Coturnix japonica: one gene and its partner. The protein of the gene in region 1 interacts with the protein of each later gene in a pairwise test. Links are inferred from orthologs where the notes say so. Each region holds a gene or a part of one and is shown in the gene's direction. Other genes may lie near its edges.

Region 1 (5,186 bases):
GCTGTAAGAACACGTACAGCTGAGGTGCTTCTCAGTCCACAAATTAAAATAATTTGAAAAGTCCCATATATTATTACGCTAAATATACTTATTTCTATTTGAAACTCTAAACCTTCACCACCCATACGCTTAGTTTTAAAATTTCATTCTCTTGGAGCACCTGTTTTCTACGTGGCAACTATTTCTATGAGAGCAAAAAAAGCTATACCTTTGTTCTATATTACTGCATGCTTTTTTACTCAAAACAATTTTTACCTCCTGTGCAAGGTTAAGTATTTCCCACGTCATTTACAGGTTGTATGGGAACTGTTGGGTCATGGCCTGAACCACGGACTGAGTACCTGGGGAAAAGACCCAGTCAGCCCTGGGAGCACAGGTGAAGGTGTGACTGGAAGGGGTGGAGCCTGGCCACACCTCTCTTAGACCCCATTTAAGGTCTGACTGCCACTAGGGAAGGACACCTGGTTGGAGATTCCTTCCTTGTGGAGTTTTCCCTGCAGGCCTGAATCTTTAGAGGTGGGTGAATGCTTTTCCTTTGTAACACTTTGCATTGCACTGGTCCCTTTGATATTACGTCTCCTGTATCACCATTCCGCTGTGTTGATCTTTCTAGTTGTTACGCGGGTGTATCTCAATTCATTGAGGTCACTATATTGGAGGTGTTAAAGAGATGGGGATGCATTACACTAAAGGGTATGGGTTATAGGTTTTCAGGATCTAATAGGGTGAAGCCCTGAGCACCCTACTCTAACCCTACAGCCAGTGTTAGACTGGAAACACCCTCAGAACCCCTCCAACCTAAACCCCCTATGATCCTTTTTAGGGCTGTAAATTCCCTGTTCTAAAACACCGTGTAGCATAGCTGAAACCCGGGAGGCCTGCTGAAGAATCAACTTCTTACAGCGCCTGCTAGAGCCCGGGCCTTAGGGCATCACCAGGAAGTTCCTTGTCCCGACCTGCTCGTTGTTTACCTGGGGTGTCCCCCAACCCCACAGTGCCCGTTCCCAGGTGCACTGTCAGAGCAGGCAGCGCCCTGGCTCCCACCCCCCGCCCCTCAGACGCTCCGCTTATTGTTTACCGCCCCAACGCCCCCACAGCCGTAGTGCCGGCCAGGCCGCACGCTCCGGCAGCCGGCCCGCGCCGTACCAGCCCCACCGCCGCACCCGCTATAGGCTGACGAAGGGAGAGGGGCCTACGGGAGCCCCGCTACTCACCGGGACGCTTGTGCCGGGCGCTGCGGGGCCCAGAGGAGCGGCTCGATCCCCGCCCGGCGCTACAGCTCCGTCTCAGCTGCGGCAGCGCCCTGCCCGCTCACGTGCCCGCCGCCATGACGCGTATTGAGGCGGAACTGGCCTCACTCTGAGCGCTGTGCCTCGCTAGCGATGGCGCGGGCGGGCGCGGCCGGCGCAGCGTCCCTCGCTGGGCGGCGCTGGCGGGAGGCGGCTCCTCGTTTGGTTGTCGCGGCGGCTGGGCCGGGCCGGGCTGGGCTGGGCTGTGCCGGCGGCGGGCGTGGGGCTGGCGGGAGCGGCTGCCCGGCGCGGTGCCCCGGCCCGGGGTGAGCATGGTGCCCTAGTGCTGGGGCTATGTCGGAGGCGGCCCGGAGCCTCCTGCAGCGCTGGGGCGCCAGCTTCAGGAAAGGCACCGACTTCGACTCCTGGGGGCAGCTGGTGGAGGCGATCGACGAGTACCAGATGTGAGTGCGGGCCCGGGGAAGGCGCGGAGAAACGGGCGGGCGGCTCCTGCAGTGCTTCCCTACCGCCCGGCACCGCCGAGCCGGGCAGCCCGGGGCGGGGCGGGGCGGTCGGCTGCAGGGCCTATAGGCCGCGGCCACCCCCGGCCTTGCCGTCGGGGCCGTTATGTAACGCGGGGCCGCCCCGAGAGGCGAGGCGGGATGCGGGACCCCGGCTGAGGGGAGCGGGGGTGGCCGGGACCCGCCCTGCAGGAGCGAAGCCCCCTGGGTGCGGGTGGGCGCTGCTGCGGGGTTCCATGAGCGATGGCGGGAACCTGAGCGAGCAGCTGGGAGCTGAGGTTGTTGTGCTGGGTGTGTGGAAGAAGTCCCGAGCGTTCTCTCCCTGTAGAGTATCAGCCATAGGGGAACCGTCCGAGAAGTCTAATAGAGCTGCTCGGGGCTGGAGGTGCAGCTGCCCTGGCTCCTAACTGGGTGCCGATACCGGGTGGACGCTGCATCGTGAGGTGCTCATCTCCTCCGTGCAGTCCCTCAGCGGGTGGGATGATGGACACTCGGTTATCTGCTGTTTGCTGGTGGGCTGCAGCTCGGGAAAAGCTGTTACTGCACACATCTGCCCTTAGGTAGACATCCATGAGGAGTGCTCTGTGACCCTAACGCTGCAATGCCCCTAGGCAGTATTAGGGGTTAGTTTCCTTCAAGGAAATCCCCTCAGAACAGAAAGTCTTCAGGCTTCTCCTTCAGAGCTTGCTTTGCTGAGAAGTTCACTTAATGACTGCAGCCAGACCGGTGGAAGAGCTGAGGCATGGTTTTCATTCCCTTTCTCTTTCATCTGATAAGAACTGAGGTGATCTTGGTGCCTGTGCTTTATTCCAACATAGCAGCAGCATGATATATCTGTAAGAAAGCTCCTCTGGGTAGCACCATTGTGAGCTGCCCTTGTAAGCTTTACCACTGAGCCTCTGAATAGAGGAGCAGTCAGCAGATAAACTCAGTGGCCCCAGGAGGGAGAAGATCAAAGGATGACAGGGATTTCCTGGGGAGGAGCAGAACCTTTCCAGTCTGCTTATCCACTGCTCTTAGATGTAGCAGGTAGACCAACAACAGCTTTGATCCGTAGGATAGAAACCAGAGTTAAGAAGCATAGGGTGAGATACCAGCCTCTAGCTCTGGAGAAACATCCCATCGTGACTTCATGCTACTTGCTGCCTTTTTAAATGGAAGTTTGATCACGCTGGTGCAGCTGGTTTAGATGCTGTTAGCAACTGCCAGTGTAGGAAGAATGGTAATAAACTGTGATGAGCTTGCTTACACTGAGAAAGATCTTTCTAGTCTAAGTGAGTTCAATTCAGGGTTTTAATGGCTCCTGGCATAACTGCTCGCCTCCCTTGTCCAGGGGGCCTCCATCTGCTCAGGTCTGGAAGTTTCATGCCAAGATTGACCCACGCTCATGTGGGAGCCCTCAGCCACCAGCAGCACCTCCCACCATTGGACTATTGCCCACGCATCCATGGCAAGAAGATGGATTCCTTTAGGAGCACAAAATTACGAAGAGATTGTATTGAGGTGTCCACAGTGCCTGTTGCTGTCTTAGGTTTTCCCCTCAACTCCTCTCTCTCTCTTGCCCTTAAATATATGTATATATTCACAGAGAACAGCAACAATTGCAGTTTCCAATCGCATGGTTTCGCTTGTTTAATTTTCTCCTTCCTCCCTAGACGGAAACTGTAACTCTTCCCATAGATTCCCTCTAGCTTCCTTTCGCTTTCATGAACTGTTTGCTTGCTGTTACTTCCCAAACCCCTTGACACTGGGCTCTGTGGTGGTAATGGGTGGAGCTGCAGCTCTGCGTATGATGCTGACAGGCACAAATGGGAACTGCTGCACCCTGGGAGCTTCAGCCACAATGTCCCCATATCCCTCAGTGGGAGAGTGTGTGGCCATTGCCTGGGCTACCTGCTGCTCCTCTGTCTGCAGCCATTACTCTTGGCAGTCACATTCTCCATGAGAAACATAGCACTTGGATCTCAGTGGGTCCTTTCCACGGGCAGTGTAATTTATGATAGTTATAGAAGGGGCTGTTGGCTAGAAGGACCCTCATACCTTCTATTTTTTGACACACTCTAAGTAGCTTTTCCTGCATAATACTTTGTCTTCTGTTTGTTAGTTTGTATTTGGTGTGGCCTGCTGTGGCTATAGAAATCTTTGTGAAGAAGCTTCTTGGAGCAGCAGTCTGTGCCATGTTTTCTGGACACCGTGGCAGTGGTGATGGGGTTCTGTGCTGTCCTCTCACTGTAGAATTTTCTCTCCTTCTCCTCCAGATTAGCGAGACATCTCCAAAAAGAAGCTCAGTCTCAGCACAACAACTCAGAATTCACAGAAGATCAGAAGGTAAGCGTTGCTGTTGGTGTAGTCAAGGAATGTGTCTCGCAGTTGTTGTTTTTGTGTCTGGCAGACCTGAGCTTTGTGATACCTGTTTTCCTCTCTTAATATGCAATAACAGAGGCAGAGCCCAGTGCAGCTGAAACTGCTGCCGTCATTAGATGTGACAGATGCTCTGCTGTGTAATACTGAGCGTCTGATGTCTTACATGCTGGTCAGAGTCCTTCATAATCTGAGTGTTTCTTTTTTTCTGGGTGACCTTTTGATTACTTGCTTATACAACGTTAGCGTGATTTGTGTTATGAAGACTGAATGCAAAATGTCTTGAGCCGTAAATGTTGAGGGTGAGCATGGAGGATCTTAGCCTAACATGTAATGCCTGACTGGAAAGGATCATAGCTGCATATTCCTTACTAGTTTCAGTGTTATTTATAGCCCTTCAGATTATTGAGCTGTCTTTCCTCTTTCCTCCCTTCTCTCAGCTGAAAAGGCTGTTTTTTGTCTGAGTATTGTTGCAATTCTGTGACAGGTTTTAGGAGGAGTATGTGTGTTGAAGTCCAACACACACAAACATCTTCAGCAGAATACAAGACCTGGGGTATAATGGAGTCTGTGTTTGTTAACGCCTGTCCTGAAAACAAGCCCTGGCTACAGAAATTGCAGATTAACTTGATCATTTATCACTATGAAATACACCTCTATGTGCAGTCTGACAGTGGTCTGTAAATGTTTTCTTGATGTATACCATCAAAAAGAGCAAAGGACCGGCCTTTTCTATTGCCCTTCTGTGAAGCAGAGGATAAGGCTTAAACTGAGTCAGAATCTTGGAGCAGGGCTGGGAGCACCTTTCCCGAACTGGAGGATCCTTGTTAACATTGGGCAGATGCTCACTCATTCATTACTTCTGCACTCTCTCCCTTCCTGATATCTTTCTCCATAGTTCTTGCCTATTACCATTTTTACTGCACATTTCTCCTCTGTGGGGACTTTTGAAAATAGGATTGGTTCGTATCATTCACTCAGCATACAGGAATAGAGTTTAGTGCACTTCTGGGTTTTCAGTCAGTTTAGTTAACTAGAAGTATATCTCCTCTCTTGCTCCCTCTCAAAAATGCCC
Region 2 (4,719 bases), about 82 Mb from region 1:
ACCGAGTTATGGACAGCACGACAGAGGATGAGCAGGCTGAAAGTGTTACAGCTAGATTTAAAAATACATTCTTCCTCATATATTAATGGAAACTGGAGTCCTTAATGTGCATCTTGTGCAAGGGAAGATGAACATGTTAATGGTCCCAGATTCCTAATTCAGTGTTTCAAACACAGCAACACATGAGCAAACTCTGCCTGAGGGAACCAGAATGTTTGGCCTCAGAAACACAGCAGGGAACCTGGATTTGCTTGGGTCTGTTTAAAATCACAGTCTTCAGTGGCACCTCTATAGACAGGGCATGTATTGGATGGTTCTGGTCATCGTTTTCCCTTAGAGAAGTGAACTAATTGAGTGCTTTACGATTCCTCTCACAGCACTAAGTCATTTAACACACCATAAAATCTTTTTATGAACTTTTATGAAACTCTTTATCAGGCTGTTATTTTTTTGTGGGTCTGCCTTGCAGCACTTATTTGGAGTTTCAGAAGTATGTTAAAAAACACTGCCATCCTACATTCTGCCAGTGTTAGTTCTGAACCAAGCCCAGCAGCCAATGAGTTGAATGTACCTGTTATATTCAATCCCTCTGGCCCAAATCCCAAGTGTTGCATTTTAGGAAGAGATGATTTCCTGGTTATGTTGGAAGTGCCCCAGTGGACTTGGCTTCTTGCTGACTCTCAGTGGCCTTGGGTTAATTGGTCATTTTTGATCCACCGTTTCCCATGGTGTTTAATGAAGTTTGTAATCTTCCTGTCTCCCATTCTTTGCCTTGTTTATTTCTGTTCTCTTCCTGCATGTGTTTAGATGCGCGCTTAGTGGCTGGTTAACTGTGCTAACTTTTCTTCCTTGGTTTCAAAGAAGCTATTCCTGATGATACAGACAAGCTCACGCACATGGACCTGGGGGACTGTGGTTTCATTAGTGGTATACATAGCACAAAGGAGCTTTGATTCTAGGTTGCATCTCTTAACACTTAATATAACTTAATAACTCTTAATATGTGATTGGTGTGGCATAAGTTCAGTTTCTTTGGGTTGAAAGGCTTTTCTTGAGCTGATTAAATACTCGGAACACCGTGGAGATGTAAATAGAGCCTGTTTGATGTTTTTCCTTTCTGACTTAGCCCGTAGAAGACAGAAGTGGTCCGTGGATCCACGAAACACTGCCTGGAGTAAAGATGAATCTAAATTTGGACAGAAGATGCTGGAAAAGATGGGCTGGTCCAAAGGAAAGGTATGGTCAGGAGAGCTGTGCAGCTCTGAGGTTGTGTCTGCTGTTCCTGAACTAAAAATGCTTTAGGAAAAGAAACAAAAAAAATAAGGGGTAGAGGGCTACCGGGCTGATGTTGGTCCCAGTGCTTAAAACAGCTGTGATGTTCTGCTGTACCAGGCTGGATGTGGCTCTGGGCAGCCTGGTCTGCTGGTTGGTGACCCTGCCCATGACAAGGGGTTTGAAACTAAATGATCTTTATGATCCTCTTCAATACAGGCCATTCTGTTACTCTAGTATTTTTATTTGGTTTATTCTCATAAGCCTGCTAAGAACACAGAGAATTTGAGCAAAGTTAGATTTCTGTAATTTCTTACAAAGATACTTGCTAGCTTATGCTTACTTTTATCATAGAATCAGCTTTTCACATAGAATCATAGAATGGCCCAGGTTGGAAGGGACCTCAAGGATCACGAAGCTCCAGCCCCCCTACCACAGGCAGGGCCACCAACCTCCACATTTAATACCAGCCCAGGCTGCCCAGGGCCCCATCCAACCTGGCCTTGAACACCTCCAGGGATGGACGGGGCATCCACAGCCTCTCTGGGCAGCTGATCCAGCTTTCATCTGTTTTTAAAGGTTACTTCTGATCCTTGTATAAAATGCAACATTACATGAGCTGTATTCCCTTGCAGCTCCAGCATGTACCTGTGGTGTGAGGTGACTGGTTGCTGGTGCTAAGAATAATCTCCAGGTCAGCATAGACAGCTGCAAATATTTCTACTGCCACTCAAAAGCAGTTTAACTTCCACAAAGATGCCTCAGCAAAGCTGAGATTTGGGCCTGTGTATCAAGCATATTTAGTGAAACAAACACATAGAACCTCTCCAACACTATTTATTAAATTCTTCTTCTTGATCTCCTCCCTTTTAAAATAAACAAAATTAGGGCTGTTCTCAGTTCTTTGAATGTATTAAAACTTAAGAGTGAGGAAAAACAAGGCTGCCCTTGGGTTTCTCAGTTTAGCCTACTGCTGCTACCTCAGTTGGTAACATAGCCAACATAGTATAGATCTGGCTTCTGCCTGCCTTTAATTTCACAGATGATGAGCAGTGATACTGATTCAAAGGCTGCTGAAGTCATGGAACTGGCAGTGTTTTCACTAGGCATTAGAATGAATTGTTAGCAAAGTGTGGGACTGAGTTATGTCAGGTTGTAAGTGTGGCTGTTTTGTATGCGTAAGTCTAAAATAGGTATACAAATCAGAGTAGAAAGAGTGCTGGTTATTATTCAGGCTGCCAGTTCCTCAACATAGTTAATGCCTTTAACTGATACGAGCACATTGTGTTGGGGTGTGGAAGGAAGGCCTTGTGGTGTTTGCTGTCATTCCCCCCAATCTTCTTGACAATAAATTTCCTACATGAGCTACTAAATCTTCTACAACAGTTATAGTTGTACTAGAGGGATTTATGACCCTCTTCTGCTGGGAACTCAGACAAATGGAGCCGTAGCTTGATCGAGGTAAGGAGTAAAAGCCCATCTGTGCTCTGAAATTAAGCTGATTATGTTAGTCCTGTTATTAGTTGTATTGGAATTGGGTCAGGGTGAGATGTGTAGCCAGGTGCTCTGCTTGTTTCCATACTTTTTTGTTAGTGGGAGCTTCAAGGTAAGTCTTCCACCCCACTGACCAAAAAAGAAGGCTGAAGGATCTGTGATAGCAGCAGCCTTATTCAAACAGTCCTTGTTGCTCCACATACTGCGTAGGCAAAGGCTTTATCCACAGGACTTTGTTCCACCATTCCATCAGACCTGTATTGTTATGGCCTGATGGGAGAAAAGCAGATAGCAGGACCAATGTTCAAAACAAAATGCCTTGTCTTTTTTTTTTTCCCCTGGTTGTACAATTAAGAAAGATAATACTGGGTCTGGAGCTTGTTTCCCATATTGGAATGCTTGCATTTAATCAGGATAGACAAAACCAACACTTGCTTGCCCCAGTATCTTCACCAAATTACGAGTGTAAACAAGATGGAAAAAGTTCCTAATGACCTGCTAGCTCCAGTCTGATCCTCCCGCTTCCCCTCACCCACTTTAATATAAATTAATTCTGCTTTTTAAGTTCCATGAGGCATCTGTCTTGTAGCTGTTACACAACTGCCTTCGCAATGGCGGAGGTGGTTTTGATAAGAGGCATGTTCTTTTTATGTAGTGTCTTGTTTTAAAATTGAAAACACTTTGGACTTGCCTAGGAATGTCAGGTGGCTTCCTGATTAATCACCTACTGCTTAATGATGTTATTTTAGTGTTTATTGTATTTTGCTGGAGGCCTAAGTAGTAAATTAAAAATACTTAATATCTCATGTATGCTAATGCTTGTGAATGAGTTCAGTTGCAGGCAAGCAAATAAATAGTAACCTGTGGGTTCTTGCTACACTTCACTGCAAAATGTCTTCAGTACAGCAGCTCTAGTTGCTTAGTCACTGCTGGAAAAAAAACCTTATGTTTTTACTCTTCAATCCTCGTTAGGGTCTTGGAGCTCAGGAGCAAGGAAATACAGAACACATCAAGGTTCAAGTGAAAAACAACATGCTGGGGTTAGGAGCATCCATCAAGAACGAGGTGAGTGCTAAACCCAGGTAAGGAGATGTGGGTTCCTTTTCAGGTGAGGCACAATTTTTGTAATGGGATGTTAGTGAAATCTGTTGTCATACCTAATGGCAGCATGTACCTGTGTGAACTTCTCTGCAGAGACTCTCTTGACCTGGAATTTAGTTTGGCCCTGCTCAGTGGTTGGGGAATAAATTTCTATTTGGGAAAGTTACGGTGAATTCTCAGAGCTGTTCAGTGAGTTTTTGTTCTAAATCACTGGAACAGGTTGCCCAAGGAGGCTGTGGATGCCCCATCCCTGCAGGCATTCAAGGCCAGGCTGGATGTGGCTCTGGGCAGCCTGGGCTGCTGGTTGGTGACACTGCACACAGCAGGGGGCTGGAACCGGATGATCATTGTGGTCCTTTTCGACTCAGGCCATTCTACGATTTTATGAAATACTTGTTTCCTCCACATATCTTGTACCTAGCTTAGTTTTATGTTTTCTTTCCCTCTCCCTGGTGGAGTTGCCTTGCTAACTGGATTTCAGGTACATGTAGAGGTTGCAGAATGTGCTATTAAAGGTGCTTGTCTCAGAATCAACAACTTAAGTAACTGCTGGAAAATCACACTCGTATTTCCTGCCTACTGTTGAAAAAGTCTCATGCAGTCTGGGACATGTGGAGCCAACAGCGGCTCAGCATTATTTAAAAGCTTACAAACACAACCCTTATCGGTTCTGCGCTTCTGAGTAACTACAGCAAGTTGTTACTGTATGCCACCTGTGGAGCTTCAGGGGGTCCCTCCCACTAAGAATCCAGTATATGTGATTAAGTTACTTCTTGGAGGGCATTGTTTTTTAATACCTGCTTTAGCGAAACTTCTGTTCCATCTGTAAACTGTTGCTTTGTATTCATGTGG

Evidence for each region. The genes of interacting proteins can lie anywhere in the genome.
Region 2: the proteins of AIDA (region 1) and PINX1 interact in binary tests that used the Homo sapiens proteins (3 or more experiments, as listed by UniProt). The link is inferred for Coturnix japonica from reciprocal best matches to the Homo sapiens genes AIDA and PINX1.

Annotation. Positions count from the first base shown.
Region 1 is NC_029518.1:15,668,881-15,674,066, forward strand, and holds the start of AIDA (axin interactor, dorsalization-associated protein), read left to right. Parts: upstream 1-1,468; 5' UTR 1,469-1,583; coding exon 1,584-1,693; intron 1,694-3,182; exon of another isoform or gene 3,183-3,197; coding exon of another isoform or gene 3,198-3,253; intron 3,254-4,008; coding exon 4,009-4,078; intron 4,079-5,186. UniProt on the Homo sapiens protein: Acts as a ventralizing factor during embryogenesis. Inhibits axin-mediated JNK activation by binding axin and disrupting axin homodimerization. This in turn antagonizes a Wnt/beta-catenin-independent dorsalization pathway activated by AXIN/JNK-signaling.
Region 2 is NC_029518.1:97,540,342-97,545,060, reverse strand, and holds part of PINX1 (PIN2/TERF1-interacting telomerase inhibitor 1), read left to right. Parts: intron 1-1,126; coding exon 1,127-1,236; intron 1,237-3,738; coding exon 3,739-3,831; intron 3,832-4,719. UniProt on the Homo sapiens protein: Microtubule-binding protein essential for faithful chromosome segregation. Mediates TRF1 and TERT accumulation in nucleolus and enhances TRF1 binding to telomeres. Inhibits telomerase activity. May inhibit cell proliferation and act as tumor suppressor.